Linked DNA regions of Kluyveromyces lactis. The protein of the gene in region 2 purifies or fractionates together with the protein of the main gene of each other region. This does not show direct contact. Links are inferred from orthologs where the notes say so. Each region holds a gene or a part of one and is shown on either strand. Other genes may lie near its edges.

What was found.
Region 1: the proteins of LAS1 (region 2) and RAT1 purify together in Saccharomyces cerevisiae (affinity purification with mass spectrometry; 4 studies listed by BioGRID, with this or other methods). This does not show direct contact. The link is inferred for Kluyveromyces lactis from reciprocal best matches to the Saccharomyces cerevisiae genes LAS1 and RAT1.
Region 3: the proteins of LAS1 (region 2) and RAI1 purify together in Saccharomyces cerevisiae (affinity purification with mass spectrometry; 3 studies listed by BioGRID). This does not show direct contact. The link is inferred for Kluyveromyces lactis from reciprocal best matches to the Saccharomyces cerevisiae genes LAS1 and RAI1.

What each region holds. Positions count from the first base shown.
Region 1 is NC_006042.1:702,707-706,902, reverse strand, and holds the start of RAT1 (ssRNA exonuclease RAT1), read right to left. Parts: upstream 2,949-4,196; coding exon 1-2,948. Other genes in the region: Cu(2+)-transporting P-type ATPase CCC2, read right to left, coding at 3,291-4,196. UniProt on the Saccharomyces cerevisiae protein: Possesses 5'->3' exoribonuclease activity. Required for the processing of nuclear mRNA, rRNA and small nucleolar RNA (snoRNA) precursors.
Region 2 is NC_006037.1:554,709-557,989, forward strand, and holds LAS1 (rRNA-processing protein LAS1), read right to left. Parts: upstream 1,943-3,281; coding exon 572-1,942; downstream 1-571. Other genes in the region: OAF3 (Oaf3p), read left to right, coding at 2,660-3,281. UniProt on the Saccharomyces cerevisiae protein: Regulates cell surface growth, bud formation and morphogenesis. May act indirectly by regulating factor(s) involved in these processes.
Region 3 is NC_006041.1:1,139,756-1,143,022, forward strand, and holds RAI1 (decapping nuclease), read right to left. Parts: upstream 1,809-3,267; coding exon 654-1,808; downstream 1-653. Other genes in the region: BRR6 (Brr6p), read left to right, coding at 235-618; PTR2 (Ptr2p), read right to left, coding at 2,412-3,267. UniProt on the Saccharomyces cerevisiae protein: Decapping enzyme for NAD-capped RNAs: specifically hydrolyzes the nicotinamide adenine dinucleotide (NAD) cap from a subset of RNAs by removing the entire NAD moiety from the 5'-end of an NAD-capped RNA.

The DNA.
Region 1 (4,196 bases), on a different chromosome or scaffold from region 2:
CTATTCGAGTATCGATTGCTATTACCTCTACTGTTGTTATAATGACGGTTGTATTTGCCGGTATTACCATTATTATTATCAGAATAACCGTTGTTACTATTATTGTAGTTTCCATTATTATACCTAGACTGTTGATATCTGCTGCCCTGTGGCTGTCTCTGTTGCGAGTGCATATACTCTCTATTTTGTTGCGGTTGTTGAGCATAAGCTGTCTGTTCTTTATGGAAGAAGAAACTTCTGTAACCTCCAACCCTGGGCTGATATTGGGTAATCCCCGATGGGCCAACAGGCACAATGTTGTATTTCATCATGGAAGGATTCCAACGGTTACTGTATTTATAAATGATACAGTCTCGGTCCTGTGGGGTAAGCATTGGTTGAGGTGGGATATATCCGTTCAATACTAACGATTTACATCTACCCGCAACCACAGGCTGCGTATACGAAAGTTTTAGGAATAAATTTGTACTCAAATCTGGCAAACCACCCCCATTAATAGGACATATCAGCTTGGAGTTTAGTTCAAACCCTTCTTCAGCTTGTGTTACGAATCCACTTAAACCAGATTTGAAATGTCTAAACTCTATCACGTTAACGGGGTTTTCTCCATATAAATTCTTCATAAACAGGTCGTAATTCACATTCTTGTTGCTGATCAAAAGTGCATCCTTCTTCCTAACATTTCTTGCCTTTTCTGAATCAGAAAGCTTAGAATATTGTTCTCGAACTGTTTTCAGTAAACGTGTTTCATCTATAAATGGCAATAGTGCAATACCCTGCCAAGCCATCTTTTTACCATTCATATCCACTGGGAATTCTTCAGGATAGAAATCTATAATCTCAGAGTTTGGATCTGACATTAATGGTCTGAATATTTCGGGTAGTGCGTGGCCTGATGCTGCTGGTAAAACACTCATTAACTGTTCGTATGGTAAGAATGGTTCACCAAGATCAAAGTGAATATCTAGATTTTTTATATTCTTGAAATCCTGAGCAAAAGGAGCATAATGGTATGGATAGTACCAAGTCCAAGACGCACATCCCTGATAATAATATAATAAAACCCATGAAATACCTTCCACATAGCACCTAATCACATCCTTTTGCAGAGCTGGAATATCTTTTGCTGGAACATGGAATTTATGTTGATAGTAACGATCATGATATCCAGGTTCGTAAAGTCTAACCGACTCATCGGTGTCAATGAACCCTGATTTTACAATACCGGTGTGGATGACCGCTGGTGGAACAGTAGAGCCTTCGTCTTCATCATAATCGGCCTCATCATCCTCAGGTTCATTGGATGTTTCCTTTTCAGCAGAGTCAACATCTTCACTTTTCCGTTTCAACGACAATTCTTCTGCATTTTCCTCATCTCTCATTGCCATCTTCTTAGCAATAAGTTTCTCCTGTAAGCTGGTAGCAGCATCGTAGTTCGCAGTCTTCGACAGTTGCACGCTATTTTTCAATTCTTCCGATGAAAACTCGACCACACCGCTATTCTTCTCACTTTTTAGTTTCAAAGCTTTAGCTGCTTCGCCATCACCTTCATTCGCCAAATTAATTTCTTTACGCATATTAGCGAAATCCTTATTAGACAAATTCAAAGAGCCTTCAGCGGCGTTGCCATCAACATCATAGACCGGCATATTCTCCAACGGAATCATAAAATTTCTGTCGACCTTGCCCTGGGAAACATTGGGGTTACTTTTCAATTTCTTTCGCCTATCATGAGCCTCTTGCTTACGAACTTCCTGAATGTATTTCTTTTTGAAAAGATCTGTTTCACGGTCTCCTAATTGTTCAAGTAAAGCTTCTACAGGTTCCAAATTGAGTGTACCATCACATGTTAGGTAGGTTTTTGTTTTGGGCAACACAGTCTTCCATATATCCACCAAAATGTCAATGCTATTCTCTCTCACATCAAGACAAGGTAAATGCGGTAGGAAATCATTACCACAGAAGAAACACATGAAAACCCAATCGTCGATTGCTCGTTCAAAATCAAACTGGAACGATAAATGTGGAATCGCTAATTCTGCTGAAAGATATTCTCTTAAAACGCTGATATGGAGCCATAAGAATGGCTTTTCTGAATCTTGTTGAATAAGCTGTTGTTTCTCTTCTTCAGATAAATTTATCATATCTTGAGGCTTTGGTTTTTTATAGTTGTTATTGGCGAACACATCCTCTCTTAATATTTTGAAATGAGGTTCGTGGGTTGCTAGTCCCAAAAAGATCAAATCTGCATCTAACCCATATATACAATGTGTTGTATTTGGATTATATTGAGTGTCTGCTCTTTGAGATCTAATGAAATTCATTATTTTATGTTCACCTTCACCTGGAACAGTAGCGTCACTTATAATAATTTGTAAATTTTTCCACCCGGGATCAGTTGCTAACTTGAAACTTGTCCAATATCTTAAAGCTGTAGCTAGTTTATCCATAAATGGGGTACCTGGAGTAATTGCGTTTGAATCCCATGTCTTTTTACTTTTGACATTTTCATCAATCGTCTCACCATAGTCCTCTCTTTCTCGTAATACTTGCTCTCTGGCTTCATTTTGGAGTTTTGCATCCCTTGCACTACGAAACCTACGTGCTCTCTGTTGATTCATCTTCGCTCTTGGTGCAACACCATCAACCGCTATCATCAAGACTTTTCTTGGTCTGGCCATATTCAAAACGCGATTTGTGTACTCAAACACAGCAAGAAGCATTTCATCCTCTGTTTCAGGTGGTGGCTTATTCTCCGGATGTGAACAAGGGTGAACAATACCATTCATATCGAGATAAAGGTTATCCAACTCACCATTGGGATTGGCCGAAGAGTAATCAAGCGGTAGTTGAACACCATCTTCGATAACTGGATATTCTTCCAACACAGGAGAAATGATTTTAGGATATTTCCTAGACAACCAACGAAAAAAGGACGGAACACCCATTGTGAGTACCTGGCCTTACTTCTCGCTATTTGTACCAACTGCCTATTAGATTACAGTATGCATTCATCTGTACTTCTAAAGTTATGTTCATCTCATCGATTAATTTTACTTATTGTTTATTGTTACCCGGATAAATAACTCAGCTCATCAACGATGTAGTGACAAACCGCTTTGAGTAACAATAATACCAGTAATTGCTAAACACAGCGCTTGGTTCACTGTACAATAAACTCATCCAGCGATTCTATTATACAATCTTTCGTTTATTACGAATATGAATTTTATTAATGTTATAATACAAGTACTGATATTTAAGAATTGCAATAGCGTAAATAGCTAAGGTTACATCAATCTTTCCTGAAGTTCAATATCATCACCTCTGTTACTGTTTCTACCAAATCTAAGCCATGACAATCCACCGGAAGCTTCCATTGATTTGATATTGAGTGAAGGCGGTGTCCACCTCTTCAACATTAGCGAACTGCAGACCACGGACACGGAACTTAGAGCCATTGCAGCACTAGACAACATTGGATGTAAAGTGATACCCCAAGGAGCTAATAAACCCATAGCAATGGGAATCATGAATGTGTTATAACAGACAGCCCAAAAGAAATTCAGCTTCACTCTATAGAATGTTTTACGCGCAATATCAAGTGCATAAACCAAACCTTTTAACGAATTATTTTTATTATCCGAATCAAGAATAACGATATCGGCAGCTTCGATTGCAATATCAGTACCAGAAGATATCGAAATTCCTAGATCTGCCTCAACCAAAGCCGGAGAATCATTAATACCATCTCCGACAAAGGCAACCCTCTCTGTACCGTTGTTTTGGAGTTGAATGACAATATCACGTTTCTGCTCAGGAGTGACTTCACTGAAGACATCATTAGCGGATATGCCAAGTTGTTGTGCCACTTTCAGAGCAGATTGATGCGCATCTCCTGTGACCATGCAGCATTTAATGCCCAAATTTTGTAAATATTCTACAACAAAATGTGCGTCTTCTTTGACCCTGTCAGATATTTCAAATTTGCCGACTAAACTACCATCGATGGAAACATAAGATTCTGTTAAAGTAGAAGAAGCGATATCACTCAAACTCTCATCGGGAAATAATTTCTTGTTACCTATGGTTATTGTATGGATTTTAGAAGTATTTTTATCTGTGATGTTACAGGAAATTCCCTTTCCAATGAGAACTTCCTCATTCGATAAATCCAAATCGAAAATGCTTGATTT
Region 2 (3,281 bases):
GGATTCATTATTACTTCATACCTTACGAAAGAACTTCAAAACATTTAACGATGATGAAAACGGTCTACACTTCTTTCCCAGTCCGATATCGACCATGACGATATGGGAGTCTACCATGTTGTTGTCTTACGGGGCAACGACTTTTTAAGCCAGTACATGCTTTGACATGTACAATTTAGATCATCTGAGTTTTCTCTTTTTAGTTTTCTTAAGGTCAAAGTAACAGTGAAACAAGATCCATCGTCGTATCTTCTGTTGCATTTATTTCTTCAAAACGTTTCACTTCTTCTTTTTAGCTAAGAACATGATTGTGCGTTATGGATTTTAACATTTTTTTATATGATGAAAATTGGTTCCTTTACATTCGCAGTTTCCACGGTAGGAGTACGCCTACGAACCCATCGTTAGTACTCTTCAGTGACCGCTCTTTATTGAGACCTTCCTAGGATGTCTGATCTTTTTATATGTTATTATCCATTTCCATTTTCAATCCTGTTATCATCGCAGAACCTGTAGAACTGTCAATCTTTCTTGCTTTGTCTTATGTATCTAAAAGGCTTAATTATACTAATTACAAAACGCCAAATGGTCTAGGCGTCCACTCGGTGACTTCTTGCCAGTTGGAGATGGGGGCATTGCTTTGTTTGATCTTTTTGAACTGATTTTTCAATTCATTCAAGTCTTTCAATATATCCAAGGCCGGGGAATCTTCCGAAACAGGCTCTATTTCTTCAGAAGACGTCCTTTTCCTTGAATTGTAGAGCTCTAATTCAACGTTCCTGATCCCCTTTGCCTCAAATTCTTCAATAACTTTTTTCGCGTCTATCTCATTCGCTTTCTTCTTCTTTCTTGACTTACTACCGCTGTAATTACCACTAGATCCACTTTCATTACTCAAATTCTTTAAGATGTGTAACACGAGATAGTTGTGGTACTTATCTACCACATTACTAAACAATCCATTACTCAAAAACTTTCTGCCGTTAACCATGGAACAACACTTATTTACGAATTTCAAGAGCTTCTTATGATTTGAGAACCGATCCGTAATCTTCGTCTCTTCATTCATGATCCTCTTCTCGTAGTTTTCTATTAGCCACTCTATACACCTGACTTGGAATGTGTCTAAGGAATGAAAACATATCTCTAACAAGGTTTCGTCGCAGTGCAAGATCATATACTCTACGAAATCTGATTTGTGTATTTGTTTCCAGGCAGTTTTCAAAACTGTCAACCAATCACTAACTTCTTCGTCCTCGGTTGAGTCCTGCTCACCAAAAGTTGATCTAGCAATTCTTTGACGTTTCCATAGGTACTCATTCTCTTTCAATAATCTCTTGAGACCAGTATACTGAGTGAATAAGGATTTCAGTTGAACAGATGACTGTGATTTCCTTTTCTTGGCTTCTGAGTCGTCATTATCATCAGTCGCATCCTCATCTTCAGCCTCATCAAAGTCCTGATCTTCCTCTTCCCATTCATCATTATTCCAATAATTATCCCACGTCCATTGTATCGCTTCCTTGCAACACAATCGTAGCATCTCAAGACTAGGCAGTTCTCTTTCATGTGTACTCAAATGACGTAACTCAACGAACCAACTGGGCAACCCTATATTTTCAGCAAGTGTGTGTAATGGGATAGCAAACTGTGCCTGTTGCACTGGGTCTAACATACCGTTCACAAACCTAATCAAGACCATGCAGTACTGCCATTTCAAATATTCCATATCATCGCCGTCTTGCGCCTCGCCAGGGTCGTTCAACTGGCATTGCATCAAACGGACCGTATATTCTATTATATGTGGGAGATATGGACCCCTGGTAAGGTATGCGTCAATTCGTTGTATGGCCCTTCTCTTCGATGCTGGAGTATCATCTACAAACAACCATTGCTTCAACTGTTCAAGCTCAGATCTCGATCTCCAAGGCGTTATTCTCATCGGGAGTTCCTCGTAGGGTTGTGTACCAAATGAAAGAAACAGAAATCACGAAAAACTGCTAGAAACAACAATTGTAGATATATATACCAGATTAGATGTGATATTAAGTCATATCATCTCACCTCATCTCATCGCTCTGTTTCCGAGTATGCATGGATCTTGTTTTTTCATCGAAATTGAAAAATTTCGAATATGACGAAATGATATCCAAAGCCCACTTTCAATACAGAGGAAGCAAATGAAATATTATCAATGTCATCGTATATTAGATGGATATTGGTAGTATGTAAGCGTCGGGAGATTCGAATAACGTAGTACACTTAACGTACTTTAACATGCAAGAATAATTTTCAGTAAATATCATTATGTAGTACTTCTTAAATGACAATCCGTTTTAGGTGTCAAATTCTTAATTAAGTATAATCTCGAAATAAAACTGCCGGAATCACAAATGGTCTTCTTTCATGAAGAAACAATTTCGTGTATGGCCTCCGAAAGGACAAGTAAACTTCGAATTGGATATCAATTGTAGCGAAGACTGCTAAACTGCTTTTCACACGCCGATTAAATCGAATACACGCCGGTCTGGTAATACTTTTTGTTTCAGGAACGGTCTGAACGTTTGTAATACAGAATCAACCGACACGCCTTCAGACGCTAAACACTACAAGTGCAGTAAAACGAAAGTCAGGGAGTGAATTGCACACAAATCGTCTTATGGTTTACGAAATGCTATCTCCGGTACCAGTTAAGAAGAGACATAGACCTACACTTGTATGTTTGAATTGCAGGCGTCGTAAGACGAAATGTGATAGAGGAAAGCCCTCGTGCAGTAACTGTTTAAAGCTGGGAGAAACGTGTGTTTACTCCGAGGATACGGATGAGAATGCTTCTAAAAAAGTAAGATACGAATATATGGATGATCTTGGATTACCGGAGTTCATCAATATGGCTCCTAAAGGGCTACATCTGTTAAGCAAAAGATCAGCTTCGTGGTTCAATGGGTTGTTCTCAGACATCGCTATATGTGACAGAGATCCATATTTAAGAATAACAAACGCTGTCATTGATATTTTACGGAAAAGTGCCAGTAAAGGTATCGATCGTAGTGAAAGAGACACCGTCTTGCAGCTTCCTAATTCGTTAAAGACCGTAACCATGTACAACCGGTCAGAAAAGTCTGAAGATCAACTATACCATCAGATAGCTAGGGAGTTCTCAGCATTGCGGTCTGCCCCAATACCGGAGACATATGTACCGTATGAATACGAATTTTGGTCCAAATATTATCCATACTTCGTTGACAAGATTCATCCGTTGGTGCCTGTATTCAATCTTA
Region 3 (3,267 bases), on a different chromosome or scaffold from region 2:
TCCCATTTTGTTTCTTTCAGTGTGAATTTGGTCTTAAGGATTCGATTTCGCCGATTTGAAAGCACAAGTCACGTGGTTTTTTTTTTCTTAAGTAATTGCCGAAGAGCAACCTTTCGAATCACTGATTAATATCTTGGGACGCACATTGCTTGGCCGGGTGTATTGAATAGAGCACCAAATGAACCAAGACCTGTGCTAAGACCTTGGGTTAAGAGCTTGTCATAGCCTCTTCTCATGCACTCAGTGAATAAATTGGTATTCCAGGGTTTACTTGTGGTAATAGTGGGATATTTCTGTTGGACTGTGCATAAAGATGTGCAATGGCAGTTATTGGAACAGCAATGGGTGGATATGAAGAAAATCTCTCAGTGCAAACGATCTTATGTTGAGAATAGATGTAGTGAGGGAATACGGCCGGCTTTAGCTGGGAAATGTGATGAATGGTGGCATTGTGCGCAGCTGGACTCGCACCCCAGCGTTCATCAGATGGCCAATTTATATGCCAAGACACTTGCACACACGTTAAATTCGTTTATACAGGCACTTGCCTTCAAGACAATAATAGTACTGATGCTATTTGTATTGCTTATATCAATTTCTAGTAAACTACTTCAGTAGTTTCTCTGTGTACATATATATCACGTATAAAGAAGTTACTTGCGAAGATCTTTTCTCCATTGTTTGAACGAATTTGATAGTATCTCTTCTCCTTCCACCAGCTGCTTGTATTCTTCGTCGTCAGACTCAATTTCCGTGAGTTTTAGGTGATTGTTCTCAAAGATGAGTTTATAGGCTTTAATTGTGTCAATATCGTCTTCTGGTCTTGGAATACTTGTCAATAACCACTCTGTGAAGGCACCATACCATTTTATGGCATCTACACACACAGTTTGCATCTGTGGGTTGTTGTTCTTCAATATTAGCGGTACCTCAGATGTAGTGAACTCCTCTACAGTTTTGAGCATGAAATTGTCATCTCTAAACCCATATATAATTCTGTTTATTCCTACTAGGAAACACTGTAACCAGGTTTTAAACAACTTACGTTCGAATTTATGCGCATCGGAAACGGTATTGACCATTGTGGTACATTTCAACTCTGCGTAATGCTTCAGGTTGTCATCTGAATCCTCTTTAAAATCAAAAATACAGTCCACTTCTGCACCGATCAATATCTTACATTTACCTATTCCTGTTCTAACCATTGAGATGAATTGGTCCCCATTGTTAATAATCTTTTTAGGTCTCTTTTCCAATGTAGTTCTGGGTACCAACGGTAGTGGCAGCGATAAGGTTGCAAGTGCTTCAAATTTGTAACCACTGTAATATGCCCTTGCCTGTAACGACTCCCTATTCTTGTTAATGGAGGTTTCCGAAGCGTCTGTCTTGACTTCCTTAATGAATAGTTGTCCATCAAACGAAACAATACGGAAATTTACCGGATTGAACTGTGATGAATCAAAAGCACTGGAGATGAGCTTCCGTATGATACCTCTGAACGTAATGATATCCACCTTCGTCTTCTTACTCTTACGTCTCTCATACTCTTCCAAAGTCGAAAGTAATCCATGCAATGTTGTAGAGTCGAATTCTTCCGTATTACACTCTTTGAACTTCTTGATTCCACTTAAAAGATCAAGCTTCTTGTCTAGATCCGTATCTGGCAAGTAATAGTATGCTAGCCTCGAATCATCGTTGACTAAAAATCCATTGTCCTGTGTTCTCGAATAATGACCTAATTCTTTTGGTTGCTTCAAAGCAGTAGTTGTACTTCTTTTTTGAACGAAAAGACTGGAAGATAGTACCATTATGCAAGAAGTCTATTCAAAGCTACCAGGTTTTCACGTTCTGAACTAGTCACCACTATAGAACACCTCCTCGTCAAATGTTTTCTTACATGTGTCTTGGTGATGAGATTCTTTTAAAGCTTTAAATGCATGAAAAATTTCCAATTGTAAAGGCCTTATTGTATGCTGTCTGCAAGATAAAAAGACAAAGAGAGAGTACGTTAAAATACAAAACAAATTATTTCCCTAGGAGGTATCACTGCAGGAAACTATCCTGGATAGAGATATTATAGAGCTTTTAACAATTCAATTGCTATTCATTACGTGTTTGATTACATGAAGGTTCTCTATTTATCGTTGATAATAGACTAGATACAGTGCAATGACCGGTTGATAATGATAATACAATAGTAATAATAATAATATAATATAACCAGGGACAAAAAGAAAATAATAAGATCTCGAAATAGTTCGTGATATGATTGATAATGGATCAAACATGGATTTATTCTTTATGTCAAGACATTAGTTTTTTATGCATTTGTCAGACTGTACTTCTGCCTTGCCAGCGATGAGAGTGTTCTCTCTTATTAACAAAGGCCAAAGAGGAGTTATAAAAGAACATTAAGCTGAGCGAGATAATTGATGCTCTAGATTTTGCTGTTTCTGTTGCTGTTGAACTCTACTGCGAACTGAGGAGACACTGTATAAAGCAGCACCTTCTCCGGTGACACCAACACCTGACAACATTTGTTCTTGTTCTTCTGTCTTGTAATCCAATGCATTCAAGGCTTCTTCATCCTTGTTGTAGTGGTGGAAACATAGCCAGAACAAACAACCAGCAATGAAACAAGCAACAGCCAAACCAGAGAATGTCCAGACGTACTTTGGATTTTCGGCTGTTGGGGACAAGGCGATACCGAGAGCAGAACCGACAGCGTTCGTGACCAAAAAGATGGACATGATGAAGGCTTTCATTGTGGCTGGGGCTTTAGAGTAAGCGTATTCCAAACCAGTAATGGACGCGAAAATTTCAGAAAGAGAAATTAAGACATAAGCAGGAACTTGCCAGCCGATATGGACTCTGTTTGGAGTGTTTGCGTATTCTGGTGCACAGGACATTGGGAAGTCGTAACATGGACCTGCTTTGTAAATAAAGTGTTGCAAGACAGCAGCGTAAACCATGGCACTAGAACCGAAACAGAAACCAATGAAGATCTTGGTAACTGGTCTGAAAGGAGTGAAACGTCTGATAAATGGGTAAATGAATTGTTCCATGATTGGGATGAATACAATTAAAGCAATAGAGTTGATAGCTTGTAAGAAATCATTTGGCAAACCGTGCAATTCCATAGTACCAGCTTGGGTAACGAAATTGTTAAGCATTTGACCGTAAACAACCCAGTAAATTGGGTAAAATGCGAAAACTTTACAAGCCTTGAAAGCTCTTCTAATTTCATCGATGAATAAATCATTCCAT